Anolis sagrei: one gene and its partners. The protein of the gene in region 1 interacts with the protein of each later gene in a pairwise test. Links are inferred from orthologs where the notes say so. Each region holds a gene or a part of one and is shown in the gene's direction. Other genes may lie near its edges.

The links.
Region 2: the proteins of MCMBP (region 1) and PRTFDC1 interact in binary tests that used the Homo sapiens proteins (3 or more experiments, as listed by UniProt). The two-hybrid records come from large-scale screens. The link is inferred for Anolis sagrei from reciprocal best matches to the Homo sapiens genes MCMBP and PRTFDC1.
Region 3: the proteins of MCMBP (region 1) and ASL interact in binary tests that used the Homo sapiens proteins (3 or more experiments, as listed by UniProt). The two-hybrid records come from large-scale screens. The link is inferred for Anolis sagrei from reciprocal best matches to the Homo sapiens genes MCMBP and ASL.

The regions. Positions count from the first base shown.
Region 1 is NC_090023.1:201,874,473-201,881,499, forward strand, and holds the start of MCMBP (mini-chromosome maintenance complex-binding protein), read left to right. Parts: upstream 1-3,953; 5' UTR 3,954-4,111; coding exon 4,112-4,169; intron 4,170-7,027. Other genes in the region: SEC23IP (SEC23-interacting protein), read right to left, coding at 3,621-3,795. UniProt on the Homo sapiens protein: Associated component of the MCM complex that acts as a regulator of DNA replication.
Region 2 is NC_090026.1:109,359,330-109,366,975, reverse strand, and holds the start of PRTFDC1 (phosphoribosyltransferase domain-containing protein 1), read left to right. Parts: upstream 1-4,621; 5' UTR 4,622-4,873; coding exon 4,874-4,948; intron 4,949-7,646. UniProt on the Homo sapiens protein: Has low, barely detectable phosphoribosyltransferase activity (in vitro). Binds GMP, IMP and alpha-D-5-phosphoribosyl 1-pyrophosphate (PRPP). Is not expected to contribute to purine metabolism or GMP salvage.
Region 3 is NC_090031.1:27,643,150-27,650,799, forward strand, and holds the start of ASL (argininosuccinate lyase), read left to right. Parts: upstream 1-4,625; 5' UTR 4,626-4,775; intron 4,776-5,582; 5' UTR 5,583-5,678; intron 5,679-7,650. Other genes in the region: CRCP (DNA-directed RNA polymerase III subunit RPC9), read right to left, coding at 295-393, 807-843, 3,925-3,932.

The DNA.
Region 1 (7,027 bases):
AGATATGCTAATCTTAGTGTTAAGCTAAAGCAAAAGGGGAATTCAATTTAGGAGATGGATGTCATCTCTAATTTAACTGTCATGGCTTAATGCTATGCAATCCTGGAATTTGTAGTTTGGTGAGGCATCAGCATTCTTTGGCAGCCCCCATGATTCCAAACTACAGCCCTAATGACCCCATAGCACTGAGCCAAGGCAGTCAAAGTGGATTTATTCTACAGCACAGATCCATCCCAAAGATATCTTAGGACATCTTAGGAAAAAAGAAGAGGGGCCAACCAAAAGCAAGATGGATGGATGGTATCATTTAAGTGACTGGCTTGACTTTGAAGGAACTGGGGGTGGCCACAGCTAACAGGGAGCTCTGGCCTTGGCTGGTCCGTGAGGTCACAAAGAATCAGAAGCGACTGAATGAATAAACTACAAAGGATATCTTTTCCATTGCTGAAAGCTTTGGTGTTCCAACACTTTTATTTTTAAAGAGGGAATGATAAGTATGCACCCTAATGTGCACTTTTGGCCAAATGACAAAGAATGCCTTTTGCCACTACACATTACATTTGCCAGCAATTTAATTTTTTTTTTGGTTTCAAGGATTTGAAAACTGAGGTGCATATTAGATTTATTAGCAATTAGACTCGAGTAAATATGAGGAATTCTAGAAAAATGTTTTGCTTCTACCAAAACACTGAATGTTGGGTTTTATAAACTCAGTAACAAACAAATCCGCCCTCAAATCTGGTGTTGAAGTTACATTTTCTTTAATTTAATTAGTAGAAATATTTCACTTCAGCAAGCATGGACAGCTCAAATATATCCCCACATGTTGAGTCCCTGTACTTAAGGAACGCAGGTATCAGGAAAAACTATAGATCAATAATTAATGTAACAAGAGGGGGAAGAACATAGCAATCCTACACAAATTAAAAGTGGCCACTCCCACAAAGCCCAATTATTACAATTATTCAAATATGCAACACGTACATACAAAGAATCCTATAAAGACATTCGCTGCTGGAAGCAAGAAGTGTTGACATCTGAAAACACACTTCTAAACTAACTGTACTGCTACTCACTTTTTTAAAGCTGTCACAGAGCAGGAACACAATTTCTAGCTCCACTAGCTCAACAATATCAACTTTCCTCTGTAAAAATCATTTACTATAATGAACATTCATACACTCATATAATGAACATTCATAAAGTATCATTAGTAAAAATCTTGAGCAACACACTGAACTGGATAATATGACAGCATATTATTCTGAAACTAATAATACTAATAATAATATAATTGTTATTTATATCCCACCTCCCATCTCCCAAAAAGGGACTCAGGGAGGCTAAAAAGGCACTGCAAGTGCAGTATAAACATCAACAGTACATGAGTATAAAACAATTTCACATAAAAGTTATAAACCACTATCAACACATAAAATAAAATCCACAATTTAAAAACAATTCCCATCAATGGTTAAAACTAGCTACCATGAATACACAACTAAAGTGCCAAAGTGTCATTCTAATATAGGACCATTTCAGCCTATGCAAAGCGAAACTACCTGTTCAAAAATCCACGTTTTTAAGCTAGAACTGAATTGAGCCCAGAAAATTATCAGAAGCCAATGAAGCAGCTTTAATAGGGGCACAGTATGTTCCCTATAGCTAGCTCCAGTTAGTAATCTGGCAGCTGATCTTGCACTAATTGAAATTTCTGAACCTCACGTAGAGTGCATCATAATAGTCCACTCTAGATGTAACTCGGGCATGGACTACCATGGCCAAGTCATGCTTTTCGAGGTACAGTTGCAGCTGGCACTCAAGTTTTAATTGTGTGAAGGCCCTCCCGGCCACTGCCAACACCTAGCTTCAAGTGTCAATGATGAGTCCAGGAGGACCCCCCAGACAGCAGACCTGTGTCTTAAGGGAAGTGTAACCCCGTTGAGCACAGGTTGTCACCCTATGCCCCAATTGGTCTCGCAACTGACCAGAAGAACCTCTGTCTTGTTAGGATGAGGTCTCAGCTTGTTGGCCCTCATCCAATCCATCACAGCTACCAGACACTGGTCCAGGATCTGGGAAGCTTCCTTGGACTGGGGTGGAAAAGAGTAGAAGAGTTGTGTATCATCTGCATAGAGATGACACCCAATTCCAAAACTCTGGATGACCTCACCCAGCGGTTTCATGTAGATATTGAAAAGCATGGGGGAAAGAATGGAACCTTGCAGGACCCCACAGGTCAATCTCCAGGGATCGAAACAGGTGTTCCTCAGCATCACCATCTGGGTACAATCCTCCAGGAAGGAGCAAAGCCTTGTTTGAGTCCACAGTGCTCTCTGGATGTAGGTGAACTACAACTCCAAAACCAAAGGACACTGCCCACCAAACCCTTCCAGTATTTTCTGTTGCTCATGAGAGAACTGGGTGCCAATTTTGGTTCAATTCCATGGTTGGTGGGGTTCAGAATGCTCTTTGATTGTAGGTGATCTATAAATCCCAGCAACTACAACTCCCAAATGACAAGATCAATTTTTTTTGAGTGAAGGACATACATTGGGTTGTTAAGTGTCTTGTGTCCAAATTTGGTGTCAATTCGTCCAGTGGTTTTTGAGTTCTGTTAATCCCACAAACTAACATCACATTTGTATTTACATAGATCAGGGGTTCTCAACCTTCCTCATGCTGTGACCCCTTAATACAATTCCTCATGTTGTGATGACTCCCAACCATAAAATTATTTTCCTTCTTACTTCATAACTGTCATTTTACTACTGTTACCAAGCCTAATGTAAATATCTGATATGCAGGATGTATTTTCATTCACTGGACCAAATTTGGCACAAATACTTGATACGCCCATATTTGAATACTGGTGGGTTTGGGGGGGGGGGCTTGATTTTGTCATTTGGGAGTTGTGGTTGCTGGGATTTGTAATTCACCTGCAATCAACGAGCATTCTGCACGATAGAACTGAACCAAACTTGGTACACTGAACTCCCATGGCCAACAGAAAATACTGGAAGGGTTTGGTGGGCATTGACTTTGAGTTTTGGGGATGTAGTTCGCCTACATCCAGAGCACCGTGGACTCAAACGATGATGGATCTGGATCAAACTTGGCACAAATACTCAATATGCCCAAATGTGAACACTGTTGTAGTTTGGGGGAAATAGTCCTTGACATTTTGGGAGTTGTAGTTGCTGGGATTTGTAGCTCACCTACAATGAAAGAGCATTCTGAACCCCACCAACGACAGAATTGGGCCAAATTTCCCACATAGAACCCCCATTACCAACAGAAAATACTGTGTTTTCTGGTGGTCTTTAGTGACCCCTCTGACACTCCCTCGTGACCCCTCCAGGTTGAGAACCACTGATATAGATTGACATTCACAGGGTCCTTCCATACAGCCATATAACCCAGAATATCAAGGCAGAAAATCCCACAAGATCTTCTTTGAACTGGGTTATCTGAGTCCACACTGCCACATATCCCAGTTCAAAGCAGATAATTTGGGGATTTATTCCGCTGTGTGGAAGAGGTCTAACATAACAAGCATCCCCGGAGGCGCGATGCTTTCCGCTCCAAGGCCGCCTTCTCCTTCTTGGGTCTGGGCTCACCTGAGGGCAGGAGGCCAGGAGGAGGCGGCGGGGGCGGCGCTGGGGCCTGGCTGACCGGGATGAAGGGGACGGTGAAGTTGAACTCAGTCGCTGACGAAGAGAAGAGCAAGTTGGTGCCGCTATTCGCGCCGGAGGAGAGGCCTCCCGCGGCCACGGAGGCTTTCGGGGCAGCCATGTCTCACTCTCTCCACAGTCCACGTCTCAGCCTTCGCTTTCTGTCTCTTTCTGTCCCTCAGCGCTTCCGGCCGGCCTCTTCCGCCCGAATCCAAGATGGCGCCGCGACCGACTTCCGCTTTCCTCTCGCGCCAACCTGAGCCCGCGCTGAGCAGAGAGGAAGAGGCGTGGCTTACGCTGCCATCGCCTCAGCCCTGAGAAGGAGGAGGAGGAAGGGAGCAGACACTCGGCTTGTTTGCTTCCTCCGTGTTTGGAGCCATTCGTGCCTCCGTTTCCGCTTCTTGTCCCCGGCCTGAAGACTTCCCAGAAGCGGGGAAATGCCGTGTGTGGCGGACTGGCTGAACTGCCCCCTCAGCATCGTGCAGGGCGTCTTCGGTGAGGAAGAAGGAAGGGAAGGGAGCAGAGGGAGGAAGAGAGAAGAGGCTGTGACTTCAGGCCCACGGGGAGGGAAACAGCAACAAAAAGCTGAAAGACAAGACTGAGGCCCCTTCCACACATTGAACTGGATTAGATGGCAGTGTGGACTCAGGTAATCCAGTTCAATGTGTGGAGGGGGCCTCATTGTGGGTTATCTGTCTTGATAATCTGGGGGGTGTTCTGCTTTAAACTGGATTATACGTGTCCACACTGCCAGATATATTTATTTATCGTGTCAGGAACAGACCAAACAGTTGCATTGCATTTTTTAACAAACAAACAGAACACAAAGTTTGCAACCTTGGTAGTTGATTAAATGGCCTTTGACCTGTACCTGGCCACTCCGGTGTTACTATAAGAAGGTCCTCCATTGTGTATGTAGCAGGGCTCAGGTTGCATAGCAGCAGGTGGTCAGTGGTTTGCTCTTCTCCACACTCGCATGTCGTGGATTCCACTTTGCGGCCCCATTTCTTAAGGTTGGCTCTGCAACTCGTGGTGCCAGAGCGCAGTCTGTTCAACACCTTCCAAGTCGCCCAGTTTTCTGTGTGCTTTTATTTGGTATCAGCCATTGGTTGAGGTTCTGGGTTTGAGCCTGCCACTTTTGGACTCTCGCTTGCTGAAGTGTTCCAGTGAGTGTCTCTGTAGATCTTAGAAAACTATTTCTTGATTTAAGTCGTTGATGTGCTGGCTGATATCTAAACAGGGGATGAGCTGGAGATGTCACTGCCTTGGTCCTTTCACTATTGGTTGCTACTTCCCAGCAGATGTCAGGTGGTGCAATACCTGCTAAACAGTGTAATTTCTCCAGTGGTGTAGGGCGTAGACACCCCATGATAATGCGGCATGTCTCATTAAGAGCCACATCTACTGTTTTAGCATAGTGAGATGTGTTCCACACTGGGCATGCATACTCAGCAGCAGAGTAGCATAGTAACCTCAACGTGCTTTACATTGAGCTATCCTTGTACCAAGTTCGGAAATTCCAGCTGATTCAAAATACAGCAGCCAGATTGGTTACAGGAACATCTAGGAGTGAGCATATCACACCCATCCTAAAGTCACTCCACTGGCTGCCAATTAGTTTCCAAGCAAAGTGCAAGGTTTTGGTTTTGACTTTTCAAGCCCTACATGGTTTGGGTCCAGTTTACCCAAAGGATTGCCTTCTCCCATTCAATCCGCCCCACACACTCTGGTCTTCTGGGGGGTGTCTGCTCCAACCAGCCAGAACCCAACTGGCAGCCACTACCCAGAGGACCTTTTCATCAGCCACCCCAAGTCTGTGGGACGACCTGCCAGTCGTTTAAGACATGAGTGAAGACTTATCTCTTCTGGCAGGCCTACTCAGTCTTTAAACATGACTTTTAAGTATCCTTTGCTTGATCTCTGTTTTGTATGTTTTAGTATGTATTTTGTAGAGATTCGATTTCATGTGTAACTTTTGTGTAGGTGCATTTTAGTGTGTGCATTTGTAGTGTTTTTGCTATGCTTATATATTTTAATTGTTTGGAAACTGACCTCAAGCCATGACAAAACGTGGGAATAAAATTATTATTATTATTATCTGACACAAAACCACAGCATGTCACAGCAAACGAGATCTAAAACAAAGGAGATGGCTTTTAAGTCATGTGCTGAGGCTTCCAGGCAGACTTAAGTACTGTCTGCCCCTCTTTTGAGAGTGTAATCACTAAACAGGCATGCTTGAAGAGGTCAAAATAAGGTGATTGGCCCTGAGGCTGGTGCGTGTCAAAGCTAGGTACTAATCAGGCAGTGTCATGTTTTATTTGTTTTCTTTCCTTGGAATATCCGGTACTAATCTAAGTGGGGTATTTGTATCTCACAAAGTGGATCAATTTAAATTCTTAAGAAAAGGGATTCAACAAGTACGCATCATAGTTAGTTGCTGCAACACATATTAATATATTTTATGCTACCCTGCAGTTTAGTAGACCTTTCACTATCCAGAAATATAATCCTTTGATCTCTGGGTTCCTAAATCTTTTGCTCAACAAATTCTATACTTATTAACACAGTTCTTTGAAAAAATCCTTCAACATGTTTCTTAAATGTAGCAGCACTGAAATCTGTTTGAAATCAAAGTGCCTAAAATTTTCAGAACAAAGTAGTCATTTGGTAGACAACATTAGTGGACTAGTCAGTTTGCTGAACTAGAAGTATTTCTTCAAGTGGTCTCATTTAGACAGGATAAATAGGACACCCACATCCCATCACTTTATTAATAACCATAGGTTATTAATGATGCCAAGAAATATAAATATCTGTGCTATGCAGTTGATGGATTATCAGTTTTTCTCAACATTATATCCTTCATATAGTTGTGTTAAATTATAAATACCATCATCTTCATCCATAATGGAGTTGTCATGAGTGTATTGGGGGAGCATGTTGAGTAAGATTGATATAAATCAGTGGTTCTCAACCTGTAGGTCCCCAGGTGTTTTAGCCTACAACTCCCAGAAATCCCAGCCTGTTTACCAGCTGTTGGGATTTCTGGGAGTTGAAGGCCAAAACATCTGGGGATCCACAAGTTGAGAACTACTCCTCTAAATATTCATTGTGTGACCACAAATGCAGTAATAGTGTACTGTAGTTTGTTTCGGTTTTTTCATCATGTCGGAAGCAAATTAAGAATACACTTTTAATGTATAAAAAAGCCACAAAGTTAAAAACTTGGCGTTATACTAATTTTCCTTTGACCAAAAGCTGGCCACTTGGAGTGCCTCTGGTGTCATTATGAGAAGGTCTTCCATTGTGCATGTGTTAGGGTTCAGGCTACATTGTAGTAGGTGGTCTGT
Region 2 (7,646 bases), on another chromosome or scaffold:
TGAACTGAGTAATTCTGTACATGATCAAAGTGTAATACTGTAGTTCTGTGCAACTCTACTTGAATCCAGTAAGGCTGACTTTTCTGTTAAATATGCATAAACTTGTGCTATATGTTGTATACCCAGGGCCAGCCCAAGATATTTCACCATCTAGACAGTTTCTCAAGTTGCTCCTGACAAGAAAATAAAATAAAATCTCAGCACATAACAAATGACATCCTCCACCCACTGAGATAGTCAATAGAACTCAGTGCCAACAGAATGATTTGGGTTCAAAAGTCAAAACAATTCATAAAGATCCTTCCTCATTCTTGGCAATAAAAATCTAATCATGATAACGTTCCTGTTATGATGCTGAAATCTGCACATGGCATAGCAACACTGGCCCCTTCTACAGAGCTTTATAAAATGCAGATTATCTGCTTTGATTATATGGCAGTTTACTCAGATAATCCCATTCAAAGCAGATAGTGTGGATTATTTGCCTTGATATTCTGGATTATATTACAGTGTGAAATGACCTCTGCATACCACTTTCGTAGACCTCCTGGATAACACAAGCTAATAGATCAGAAAGAAAAGGATTTGAGTTCTTATAATGGCAGTGACTTGAAACAGCAGTGTGTGGCTAAAGGCCCTTCTACACAGCCCTATATCCTAGAATATCAGGGCAGGAAATCCCACATTTTCTGAGTGTTGACTCAGATAACCCAGTTGAAAGCAGATGATATGGGATTTTCTGCCCTAAGATTCCTTCTTTTCATTATTGTTTAGTGACATTTAAAGTGATGGTGGACAAGTGCAACTCATTGGGTCTTTGGGTCCTTCCACACAGCCCTATATCCCAGAATATCAAGGCAGAAAATCCCACATTATCTGAGTGGACTCAGGGTCCTTCCACACAGCCCTGTATCCCAAAATATTAAGGCAGGAAATCCCAGAATATCTGCTTTGAATTGGGTTATCTGAGTCCACACTCAGATAGGATTTTCTGCCTTGATATTCTGGGATATAGGGCTGTGTGGAAGGGCCCTCAGATGACCCAGTTCAAAGCAGATATTGTGGGATTTTCTGCCTTGATGTTCTGGGATATTGGTCTGTGTGGAAGGGTCCACAGACACTACTAGGACTCTTTGTGACCATCAGGGGTCAAAATACTCTAAATTGTACCAAAATGACCTCTGGAGGACATTTCTCTTGTGTGTTCAGAGGACATCATTGAATGGTTTCATCCAACCAGGCTCTTCAATCAATTTGAACATTATGAAGGGAAGATGAAATCCCCTTGTGTACCTAGTCAAATGCCTGCCTCCCCCTCTGTTGGGATATTGGTAAGGCATATATATACTTTCCCCAGTTTTTTCTTCAGGGAAAGAAAAGCTGGATGCATGTGTCAAAAATGCCTCTAAAGGTGTAGAATTAATGCAGACTGGCACCACTTTTATTGGCAATTCAGTTTCATGATCTATGGGAATTACAGTCCAATAAATCTAGAGTGTATCATGTGAGACCAGGCTGTTGTATGCACTCATTGCTGAAAGGTATGGGAGTGTTTTTCAGGAAGCTGATTCTGTTCCAGGTACATTTGGCATTTTGATTGTATGTACTGTTCACCTAGACTTTCCAGGGCCCTTCCACACAATCCTATATCCCGGAATATCAAGGCAGGAAATCACACAATATCTGCTTTGAACTGGGTTATCTGAGTCCACACTCGGAATTTCTGCCTTGATATTCTGGGATATAGGGCTGTGTGGAAGAGCCCCCAGTCTTCTTGAACACCGAAAGAGAACAAGGCACTTCTTCCTGTTTGATGTTCATGGAAGTGTCTCTCAAATCAAACATAAAGCAGTCCTATCTCTTTCCACTTAAAACAGAAGTGTACTTTTTCATGAAGGTCATCACCAGGCTTGCCAGGCTTACTAGATCTTAAAGGGCAGTCCCTTATTGCGGGAAAATATCCCACATTCCAGGGGATGATTGCCTGGGATGTTCTGGGACCTCGGCCTCCTCCTTGGTATTTGACCTGAAGGCAAGGAGGGGACAGAGATGTCAATTGCTAAGGAGGAGTTGGGGGGGGGAGGGGCAGAAGTCCTGTCCATTGAAGTCCCTGGCCCACAAGCCCCCCCTCCCCCATGTCCCTTATTTTTCAGGAAGACACCTGACAACCCTGGTCATCGGTACTGCTGATTATATAGGAGGGGGGAAATGGTATAATGAAAACCATTTGAGCTACAGACACAAGGAAAACATTCCGTGCTTTCACTCTCCAGGAAGTTTGACAAAATACATTTTAGGGAATCTTAAGAATGTCGCTCCATCTATATTTGTATGTAAAAGAACAGCCAGCGATCAGAATTGCCAACTCATACACCCTTTTGGTATAGCAAAGGGAACAAAGGTGAATAAACACAACTGATTTTCATTAGAATTCTTCCTTTTATTAGAACCAAGGGACTACCAAGAACAAATGCCAAGTTAATTTTATGGGGCGATATGACTCTTGTTGCTGCTTGGCATATATTGACTCGCATAATAACCACATAAAACCACCTGAGATTCTTAGCCTACCTTATTATCAGTTCACCTAGAACTCATTAAAGGTACATATGGTATCTATTGCGGAGTGCAGCTTAACCAGTGTTATATTCGAGCTTGTAGTAGGAAACAGGAAATAAAATATGCTGGATGTTCTGGTATGGTTCAAAAAGGTAACAAACCCACTTTTATTGTTGCGGGTATACACCTCATATAAAGGGATGGATAGACAAAAGAAAGTTACCCAACTTTGTTACAGGACTCCCTAATGCTTTCTTGCCTTGTTTTCAAACTGTTTCCTAGATCTATGTAACTCAAGGTGTTTTTCTACCTGCCTTCTTTCTAGAAGTCATTGTTGTTGTTCATTTGTTCAGTCGCTTCTGACTCTTCGTGACCTCATGAAACAGCCCACGCCAGAGCTCCCTGTCGGCCGTCACCATCCTCAGCTCCTTCAAGGTCAAGCCAGTCACTTCAAGGACTGCGCTCTGACACCTTGAGATGCAGAACCAACCTTAAGAAATGGGGCCACCAAGTGGAGTCCACAACATGCGAGTGTGGACAAGAGCAAACCACAGACCACCTATTACAATGCAGCCTGAGTCCTGCCACATACACAATGGAGGACCTTCTTGCAGAAACACCAGAGGCACTCCCAAGTGCCAAGCTTTTTACTTTGTTTGCACTTTTAAATACATTACAACTGTATCCTCAATTTGCTTCTGACACGATGGCAAATCAGTGTTCAGAACAGCCTTTACTGAGCTGTTATTCTCGGTTCTTGAAGTTCTGCACCAGACTTCTCTGTATTTCTGCCTGTAACAAGACAGATATATAAACCCCACTTGTCCAAGTTTCCAACAGACCTTTCAACCTCTGAGGATGGCTGCGATAGATGTGGGCGAAACGTCAGGAGAAAGTACATCTGGAACATGGCCATACTGCCTGGAAAACTTACAGTAATCCACTACACACTTTGCTAACAGGTCCAAAGAGGGAGTCTCCTAAGCCAAGAAAGTGATATGGCTCCATATAACCAGGCTGCCTGTGTCTCTCTCAACAGAGGAAGTAGCTGTGGTTAAAAGACCCCTTTCTGAGTTGAGAAAGAGGTGCAGGATCTAAATCTAAATGGGATGCAACTAAGACATCTCTCAACTAAGGAAGGAGCAGATGCCAAAATGAACAAATTGGAGTCCAAAACACCTAGAGGGAAAGCTGAAGTTGGTCCATGTCTGGCATGGAGGCACCTTTCCTTGCCTTCCTTTTCTTTCCTTCCTTCCTCTTCTTTCTTCCCATGTGCCCCCCTTCCCTCCTTCCCCTTCCTTCCCTCACCTCCTTCCTTAACTTCCTACCCACCTTCCTTCCTTTCCCTTCCTTCCCCTCCTTGCTTCCCCCTCTCCGCTTCCTTCCTTTCCCTTCCCTTCCCTCCCTCCTTCCTCTTCCCTTCCCTCCTTCATTCCTTCCTTCCCTTCTCATCCTTCCTTCCTTCCCCTTCTCATACTTTCCCTTCCCTCCCTCCCTTCACTCATCTCCTTCTTTCCCATCTCCCTTTCTCTTCTCCCTTCCTTCCTTCCTCTTCCCCTTCCTTCCTTTCCCTTCCCTCCCTTCTTCCTTTTCCCTTCTTCATTCCTTCCTTCCCTTCTCATCCTTCCTTCCCTTCTCATCCTTCCTTCCTTCCCCTCCTCATCCTTTCCCTTCCCTCATCTCCTTCCTTCCCATCTTCCTTTCTTTTCTCCCTTCCTTCCTTCCGCTCCCTTTCCTTCCTCTTCCCCTTCCTTCCTTAACACTTTCCATCCAACTCTCCCCTTCTTTCCTTTCCCATCCTTCCCCTTCCCACCTTCCTTCCTTCCCCTCCCTTTGTCCTCCCCTTCCTTCCTTTCTTCCTACCTACTTTCCACCCCCCTCTCCCCTTCCTTCCTTTCCCTTCTTCTTCCTTCCTTTCCTTCCTTCTCTCACCTCTTTCCTTCCCTTTCCCTTCCATCCCCCTCTCCCCTTCCTTCCTTTCCCATCCTTCCCCTTCCCACCTTCCTTCCTTCCCTTCCCCTTCCCCTGCCTCCCTCCCTTCCCTCCTTCTCCTTCCCTCCAACTCGAGGCAGGCGCCGCCTCCTTTGCTTCTCCTTCGCTTTCTCCTTCCTTCCTTCCTTCCTTCCTCCTCCTCCTTTTCCACTCTGGGTCTGGAGGCTGGCGCCTAAGCCCGCCTCCTCGCAGCAAAGAGGCGCAGAAGGCCAGGCTGAGCGCTTTCCCTCGCTTTCCCTCCTAATCTTTTCACTTCTCCCTCTTCTTTCTTTCCTTCCTTTCTCCCCTTCTTCCTTTCTCCTCGAGGCTCCCTTCGCCGAAGATGGCCGGGCAAAGCATCGGCGAGGCCCCCAACCCAGCAGAGGCGCCGCGACGCAGCCGTGGCCGAGGGGTCGTGGTAAATTCAAAACCTCCTCCCTCCCTTTGCTTCCAAACACACAGTCAGTGAGTGCTGCCCTTGGGCCAGGCAGAACTCTCTCTCTCTTTCCTGCTGGTGCAGCCGAGGCATCCTCTGCCCGCCACGTTGTGTGTCTTCAGAGCTCACCCAAAGCTTCAGAAAGTAACTTGCAACGTGGGTTATATAATCCTCGTCCACACTAGCGAGGGAGAGATTCTGGAAGTTGCTGCTCCCAGGATTCCATAGCATTGAGCCATGGCAGCTAAAGTGGTGTCAAACTGCATTAATTCAACAGTGTAGATGCACCCATAGGAGGCTATTGTTATTTCCCTTTTACTCCTCACCCCACTCCCACTCTGTGCGTCATGCTGCTAAATGAATGCAGTTCAACAACACTTTAGCTCAGTGGTTCTCAACCTGTGGGTCTCCAGATGTTTGGGCCTTCAACTCCCAGAAATCCTAACAGCTGGGATTTCTGGGAGTTGTAAGCCAAAACACCTGGGGACCACAGATTGAGAACCACTGCTTTAGCTGTTACAAAACTATGAGTTGTTGGGTTGCTGTGAGCTTTCCAGGCTGTATGTCCATGTTCCAGAAGCATTCTCTCCTGACGTTTCTCCCACATCTATGGCAGGCATCCCCAGAGGTTGTGAGGCCATTTCTACAACAGTGGTTCCCAACCTTTGGGCCTACATGTGTTTTGGACTTCAGCTCCCACAGTTCCTAACAGTTGGCTACAGTATAGATGCACCCACATGAGGCTGTTATTTTGTCATTGTCCTCCCCCCCCCCCCAACTCACACTGTTGACTAAACAATATAAATACTTTGATTACATCTATACAGTCTGTCCCCCAAAATACATGTGCCCTTTAACACAGGCATGGTCAAACTTGGGCCCTCCATGTGTTTTGGACTTCAACTCCCACAATTCCTAATAGCTGGCACCAAGCACGTAGCCGGGGGAGGGGGGGGCTTGAGGGGCTTCAGCCCCCCCCCCCCCCAAATTCTCATGTTGGTCCACGAGGAGGCCTTACTGGTACATTATTTAAACTGTTATGTTTATTCATATCATGATCTGATCACCATGCTCAATATATCCCATATGCATGGGGGTATTGGGGTAACGATACAAAAGGTTTGCTAGGGTAGACCCTCTTTCACTCAGCCCCCCCCCCCCCCAATCAAACTCAGCTCCCCCCAAAACAAAATCCTGGCTACAGGCCTGGCCGGCACAGAAGCATTGTGCAAACTCTCTGCAAGAGAACAGAGAAGGGTGTACTGTGTAGGTCAGGCCTGGGCAAACAAGCCCTCCAATGTTTTGGACTTCAGCTCCCACCATTCCTAACAGCTGGCACAGATGCATTGGAAGCTTGTGCAAAATATCTGCAAGGGAAGAGAGAAGGGTGTTCTGTGTAGGTTAGACATGGGCAAACTTGGGCCCTCCAAGTGTTTTGGACTCCTACAATTCCTAACATCCTCAGGCCCCATACGTTTCCCACTCAGCCTCTTAAAGGGCCCAAGGCTCTTAGGAATGGTGGGAGATGAGATCCAAAACACCTGGAGGGACCAAGTTACCCCCTGCCTGCTTTAACAGCTAATGGTAGCTATGGTGACTATTTGAAATTGTTGTTGTTGTTGTTGTTGTTATTTGAAACACAACAAGACAAGTCAATGGCAGACAAGATCACTCTGCTGGCTGTTGCATTGGATCACACGTCGGACACTTCCCAAGTGTCTAGGACTGTGTGATGTATCGGCTAATAATGTGTGCAGATCCCAGTAAGGTGGCCTTCTGCAGCTGGCAGATGGTAATTGTGTCAGTGCTGATTGTGTTTAAGTGCAGGCCAAGGTGATTAGGCACTGCACCCAGTGTGCTGATCACCACTGGGACCACCTTGACTGGCTTGTGCCAGAGTCTTTGCAGTTCTAACTTTAAATCCTCATACTGTGCCAGCTTTTCCAGTTGTTTCTCTTCAATCCTGCTGTCACTGGGATTGCAACATCGACAATCCATACTTTGTTTTTTAACACGATTGTGAGGTCAGGAGTATTGTGCTCCAAAACTCTGTCTGAATTCGGAAGTCCCAGAGGAGTTTGACGTGTTCATTTTCTGTAACTTTTTCTGGCTTGTGATCCCACCAGTTCTTTGTGGCCGGCAGATGGTATTTGTGGCACAAGTTCCAATGAATAATCTGAGCAACAGTGTTATGCCTCTGCTTGTAGTCTGTCTGCGCGATCTTCTTGCAGCAGCTGATGATGTGATCTATTGTTTCACCTGCTTCCTTGCAGAGTCTACATTTGGGATCTGTTGTCGACTTTTCAATTCTGGCTTTGATGGCATTTGTTCTAATGGCATGTTCTTGGACTGCCAGAATCAGTTGTTGTTGTTGTTGTTGTTGTTGTTGTTGTTATCATCTTTATTTATATCCCACATTTCTCTCCATGGGGATTCAAGGCGGCTAACACATATACATTCATATTAAAGAATAAATGTTATAATAATTCCATCAGTTATGGGTTTCACCTTAAATTACAGTTTCATGTAAGGCAGAGGTTCTCAACCTGTGGGCCCCCAGGTGTTTTGGCCTAAAACTCCCAGGACTCTTCCACACAGCCCTTTATCCAGAATATCAAGGCAGGAAATCCCAAATTATCTGAGTGTGGACTCAGATAACCCAGTTCAAAGCAGATATTGT
Region 3 (7,650 bases), on another chromosome or scaffold:
TTCGCTGGGTTCATTATTTTTCCTGAAGGCAGACTTTCTAAACCTCCCAAGACTTGGTTCAAGGACGCCCACATTTACTCGGATGGCAGGGAGTTTCTGAGACAACAGAAAAGTGCCCAACGATGCTCACAACGAACACATCGGCACAAGCATGCTGTCATCAACGGGAAGAATACGCACATGTCAGAATGGGGATTTTTCCAAGGGAAGAAAACATAGCGTGAGAGAGAGAGGCAACAAAACCAGAGGGTTTTCTATGTCCACGGATACCAGGAACCCCCCGAAAGGACTCACTTCGTACATGATGGTGTTCAGGTTCTGCTGCCCGGCGCTCGCTTTGCTCTTCCCCATCTCTCGCCGCTGCTGCTTCAGGTCCATCAGCAGCTGGTAGACCTGAAAGGAAACCCGATTTGCTCTTTCACGGGGGCCGCAAAGCACTTTCCAACAACATTCCCATCCGCGATTGCTATGTAAACCAAGCCAGGAAAAGAGAGGCGCCGTTGAGTTTCCCACCCTCTGCTGGGACCGTTCTGCATGGCACTTTTAGAGCGCTTTGGTCCCATTTCAACTGTGAAGCTCCCTTATCCGGGAATCCGAAACGCTCCAAAATGGCCATTCTATGAGAGGGCCTTTGGGCAACCTGGCTCAAGGCAGGTTACGGCATAATCAAAACACATAAACATAGTAAAAACTTATAAATGCACATATAGAAATGTACTTTGATAAAATGCATATGAAAATACACAGAGCAGAGATGAAACACAAGGCATCAGAAGTCCAATTAATTATGCCACAAATGGTTTTACCTCATAGTTGCTCAGAAGGGCTGCATTTCCGTCTTTCCTGCACAACAAAACAAACAGGCAGGATTAGGCCTTTATGCAGGCGATCCTGGCTCAAGAAGACAGACTGTTTTCAAAGCCCAAAGGAGATATTTTCTTAAAGGGCAGCTTCCTCATTTCGAGCCAGATTTTGCTGAAGTCAGATAATGTGTGTCCAGAGGAACGCTGGGAAAATCCAGACAAATGAAAAGATAGATAGATGATAGACAGTTGACAAGTGATTGATAGACAAATGATTGATAGATGATAGATAGTTGGCAAATAATTGATAGTTGACAGATAGTTGACAGATGATTGATAGATAATAGATAGAAACATAACAAAGATAGCTGACAGATGAAAGATAGATGACAGATAGTTGACAGATGATTAAAGATAATAGAATTATAGATAGAAAGATAAGATAGTTGACAGATGATCGATAGATGATAGAAACATAACAGAAAGATCGTTGACAGGAGATTGATAGACAGATGAAAGATAGAGGACAGATTGTTGACAGATGATTGATAGATAATAAATAGATGGATAGATAGATAGTTGACAGATAATTGATAGGTTATAGAAACATAACAGAAATATAGTTGACAGGAGATTGATAGGCAGATGAAAGATAGATGACAGATAATCGATAGATGATTGATAGATAACAGATAGATAGATAGATAGATGACAGATAATTGATAGTTGATAAACTGTTGACAGATGATTGATAAACAGACAGATAATAGTTGGCAAATCATTGATAAATAGATGATAGTTGACAGATGATAAGATAGTTGAGAGATTATTGATATAGATGATATATGAGATGATTTATCTGTATAGCTCGATGATTGACAGATGATTAATACAGATAGAAAAATGAGTTGAGAGAAGACAAACACTAATAGATAGATAGTTGACAGGTGATTGATAGACATATGATAGATAGATGATAGATAAATAGTTGGCAGATGATAGATACATAGATAGATAATTGGTAGATGATTGATGGACAGATGATAGATAATAGAAAGATAGACAGATAAATAATTGGCAGATGATTAATAAACCAGATGATACATATAGTTGGCAGATGATTGACGGACAGGTGATAGATAGATAGTTAACAGAAGGTAAATAGTTGAGAGAGGATTGATACAGATAGATAGTTAACAGATGATGGATCACCTTAATAACAAACCGACTGAATCTTGTTCATAACTGAATCTTGTTCATATCTATCTATCTATCTATCTATCTATCTATCTATTAACAAAAACACCGAAGGGCCGTGCGGAAGGGCCCCCTCCATCCATCCATACATCCCAGAGACAAAGGCCTTTTTTCTGCTGAGCCAGCAAAGAGCGCAGAAACAACAACAGTGCGGCGGCCACAAAAAGCGCTTCTCGGGGGGCCCCGCACGTACCTAAAAGCACAATGTATTTGATTTAGTTCTGAATCGAACCCGCTGCGCTCATCACTTTCGGGGCAAGTTCCACGCCGCCTCTTCCACAAACTTCCACAGGTTGGGCGCATTGTTTTGGTGTTTTGTTTTTTAAAAAAAACAAATCGGGGGGATTCAAAAAAAAAGAGGGGCTCCCCTTCCGGAAATATGCTGAGAAGGGAGTTTTCGTTTTTTGTGCTGACCCCAAAGACACGTCAGCCGTAGCAGTGGCTTTGCTCCATATATGTTATACTGTATATTTAATTCTTTGGGAGTCTTGGGAAGCTCGAATGAAGAGGAATCCTATGGGGAGATAGATATATATGTCTGTGTGTGTGTGGTTGGCTTTTTGGTCGGCAAAAGAACCAACAAAACCTACATATTATTGATATTACAATTAATAATATAAAATTTATATATATATATATATATTATACATACATTGCTTTATCTTATATATTAATATATTAAGTGATATGTATGTGTATATATATGTACATATATGTATGTAAACATCTCATCAATATCCCTCTCTATATATTAAAGTGTATATATATATATATAATACATACATTTTAATATATTAATATAGTATATATATAATATGACATATAAGCATTATCCCTCCCTCTCTATACAGTATATGTATGTATGTGTGTATATATATATATATATATATAATTTTAATATATATGTGACATGTATGTATAAATGTTAGTACATATATTATACATACATTACTTTATTTTGTTATATTAATATATATGTATATAAGCATCTAATTAATAGCCCTCTCTGTACATTAAACAATATATATTATACATACATTATTTTAATATATGTATATTAATATATTATAAATATATATTAAGTGATGTGTATGTGTGTGTGTGTGTGTGTGTATATATATGCATCTAATCAATATCCCCTCTATACATTAAAGTATATATATATATATGATACATTATTTTTATATATTAATATTAAAATAATGTATGTCTTATATATATAGATATCACATAATTGCATATATTATGTGATATGTATGCATATATAAGCAATATCCCTCTCTAATACAGATTAATATAATATATATTAAAGCATATATTGCATATATTTAGTATTATATTAATATAATGTGATATGTATATACATGAATTCTATATAAGCATTTAAGTAATATACCTCTCTATATACATTTATATGTGTGTAGTATATATTATGTATTATATATATATATACATTACTTTATTTTAATGTTATACATATATAAATAATATTGCATACATTATTTTAGTATTATATTAATATAATGTGATATATATATATATATGAATTCTATATAAGCATATAAGTAATATACCTCTCTATATATATTAACATGTGTATAGTATATATAATGTATTATATATTAATATATACATTTCTGTATTTTAATCTGTTATACATATATAAATAGAACATATAAATGTATATATAGTAGAAGCATCATCTCCTCTCTATGGCTTAATATATCCTATTTCCTCTCTATAGCTTAATATGAATAATTCTATAAGCAACAAAACATACATATTAATAATTCAGATTCCCTCGGGTTCGCCTCCTGGGCCTGGCTTTCCTGCCATTTCCCCTCCTTCCCTCCCTCCAACTTACACTTCCATCTCGCTTCCCAGGAGGAGAATTAGGGAAAAGGCGGGACTTCAGGCCGGAAGAGGAGGAGACTGAGAGGAAAGGGGCGGAGACTGGGAAAGGGGTGGAGCTTCGAGACAGAGGAGAAAGGGGGCGGAGACAAGCAGGGTAGGAAAGGGGGCGGGGCTTCAAGCATGAGGCAGAAAGCGAGGCGCTAAGGACGCCGGGAGATGAAGGCGGGAAGGCGTGGCCCTTGCGAGGGAAGACGGCCGGCTGAAGGGAGGGCGCTTTCTTCAAGGACTACAACTCCCAGAATGCCTTTCACTTGCAAGACTTTTGGCGGGAGAATAGCCACTGGAGTCTAGGGCTGTGATACTTCTATCAGAAGCCCCACTTCACAATCTATTATTATTATTATATATTCTTCTTCTTCTTATAGCATCTACCAATCCGCAGAAAGGAAGGTCAGTTCCCCCCAAACCCCTCCAGCCATTAAATTTCGGCCTATCAGGTCTGTGTGCCAAGTTTGGCCCAGATCCATTAGTGCTCTCTGGATGTAGGTGAACTACAACTCCCTCAAATCAAGGTGAATATCCCTCCAAAGCCTCCAGTGTTTTTTTTTGCTGGTCATGGGGGCTTTGTTTGCCAAGTATGGTCAAATTCCGTCATTGGTGGAGTTCAGAGTACTCCTTGATTGCAGGTGAACTATAAATCCCAGGATCTATAACTCCAAAGTACACAGACGAATTCCCCTCAAAACTCACCAATATTCAAATTTGGGCATATCAGGTATGCATGCCAAGTTTGGTCCAGATCCATCATTGGGTTCACAGTGCTCCCTGGATATAGGTGAACTACAACTCCCTCAAATCAAGGTAAATTCCCCTCAAAGGCCTTCTGCAGCTGGCAGATGATAATTTTGTCAGCGCGGATTGTGTTTAAGTGCAGGCCAAGGTCTTGAGGCACTGCACCCAGTGTGCCAATCACCACTGGGACCACCTTGACTGGCTTCGGCCAGAGTCTTTGCAGATCGATCTTTAAATCCTCATTTTTTTTCTCTTCAATCCTGCTATCGCCTGGAATTGCAACATCGACGATCCAAACAGTATTATTATTATTATTATTATTATCATGGCATATCTACCAGTTTCCATGGGGGCCAGTTAATTGAAAGACTATTATTATTATTATTATTATTATTATTATTATTATTATTGTGTCATATCTACCAATTCCCATGGGGGCCAGTTGATTGAAAGATTATTATTATTATTATTATTATTATTATTATTATTGCATATCTACCAATTCCCATGGGGGGCAGTTAATTAAGAGACTATTATTATTATTATTATTACTCCATCTACTTAACCCTATAGATACTTTGAATGAAGGGAGAGCCTGCTGCCTTGCATTGACTTCTATGGCCTTTAAGAACATTTAAGAACTCTCCTATGATTTCCTTTTAGCGTCCATGGAAGAGGTCGGACTTGGCAGCAGCCCTTTTTGGCAGCGAATCAGTGCAAAACATTGGCATCTCTCCCACCTTTCATGCCATTGAAGGTTACTAGGCCAGATCTAGATGCCAATTGTGTTGTGTTGTGTTGACTTGTTTTGTATGCAAATGAACTGTGGTCTAAGGGCATTAACAAACACCTCTTATTTCCTTTTATATTATTAAGGCTTTTGAGCGCCCATGGAGGAGGAGGAGGCCTGCTATTCTTCCCTTTTAGATGGTCCAGGCCTTTCAGCATCTGTGACGGAGGTCCAATTCATAGGTATATCATATCTTAGTACAAGGTAAAGGTTTTCCCCTGACATTAAGTCCAGTTGTGTCCAACTTTGGAGGCTGGTACTCATCTCCATTTCCAAGCCGAAGAGCCAGAGTTATCCGTAGACACCTCCAAGGCCAAGTGGCTGACATAACTACATGGAGCACCCTTACCTTCCCGCTGAAGCAGTACTATTGATCTACTCACATTTGTATGTTTTCGAACTGCTAGGTTGGCAGAAGCTGGGCTAACAGCAGGACCTCACTCCACTCTCTGGATTCGAACCACCAACCTTTCACTCAGCAAGTTCAACAGCTCAGCGGTTTAACTCACTGTGCCACTGGGGGCTCCTTTATCGTATCTTATTATACCATATCATATCATGTGTATTTCCGGCTTTAGGGAAAGGAGCCTCTCCTTCCTTCCTTCCTTCCTTCCTTCCTTCCTTCCTTCCTTCCTTCCTTCCTTCCTTCTCTCCCTCCTTTCTTCCTTCCTCTCCTTTCTTCTTTTCTTCCTTCCTTCCTTCCTTCTTCCTTCCTTCTTTTTTCTTTCCTTCACTCCTTCCTTCCTTCTTCCTTCCTTCCTTCCTTCCCTCCCTCCTTTTTTCCTTCCTTCCTTCTCTCCCTTCTTTCTTCTTTCTCTCCTTCCTTCCTTCTCTCCATCCTTAATTTTTCCTTCCTTCCTTCCTTCCTTCCTTCCTTCTGTCTTTCTTTCTTTCCATCCTTCCTTCTCTCCCTTCTTTCTTCCTTCTCTCCTTCCTTCCCTCCTTCTTTCCTTTCTTCTCTCCTTCCTTCCTTCCTTCCTTCCTTCCTTCCTTCCTAGTCTCCCTCTTTTCTTCTTTCTCTCCTTCCTTCCTTCTCTCCATCCTTATTCCTTCCTTCCCTCCTTTTGTCTTTCCTTCTTTCTTTCCTTCCTTCTCTCCCTCCTTTCTTCCTTCTCTCCTTCTTTCTTTCCTTCCTTCTCTCTCTCCTTTCTTCCTTCTCTCCTTCCTTCCCTCCTTCTTTCCTTCCTTCTCTCCTTCCTTCTTTCCTTCCTTCTCTTCTTTCTTCCCTCCTTTCTTTCTTTCCTTCCTTCCTTCCTTCTTTTCATTCCTTCTTTCCTTCTCTCTCTCTCCTTCCTTCCTTCTTACACACCTTTGTGCCCTTTTCCACCTCTCTCTTTCTCATGAAAGATAGTGCCATTATTATTAGTAGTAGTATTAATAGGAGCCCCAGTGGTGCAGCGGGTTAAATCGCTGAGCTGCTGATCTTGTTGAATAAAAGGATGGCGGTTCAAATCCGGGGATTGGGGTGAGCTCCGCTATGAGCCCCAGCTTCTGCTAACCTAGCAGTTTAAAAACATGCAAATGTGAGTACCTCTTCAGCAGGAAGGTAACAGTGCTCCATGCAGTCATGCCAGCCGCATGACCTTGGAGGTGTCTATGGACAATGCCGGCTCTTTGGCTTAGAAATGGAGATGAGCACCAACTCCGAGAGTCGGACATGGCTGGACTTCATGTCAAGGGGAAAACCTTGACCTTTACCTTTTTATTAGTAGGAGTATTTGCTGATGGCTCCAAAGTCTTTCCGTGTTGTGCGTGCGTGCAAGGGACAGAATTGGAAAGCGCACACGCATGCAGGGGGGCCCCCATTCATGCCTGGGGAAAGTGTGCCAACTCAGCGGATGGATGGATGGATAGATAGATAGATGGAGGGCTGGAGAGAAGCCCCTTTTTTCTTCCTCTCTTTTCATCCCTTCCTTCCTTTCTTTCTGGCTCATTCAGGAAACACAATGCCCAGCGGCCTCATGGGTGGCTTTGTCTTTTTGGCTCCCTTGTCATCCTTGCTTTGGAAACGAGGGCGCTGACCCTGCCATTCACGCAGGAAATGCAGACTGGACCCTTTCCTTTATTGGCTCCCTTTTTGTTGCTTTCCCCCCATTGAGCGGGGCAACCGTTTTTCTATACGTCAATGTAAGAATAACACGTATCACACAAAGG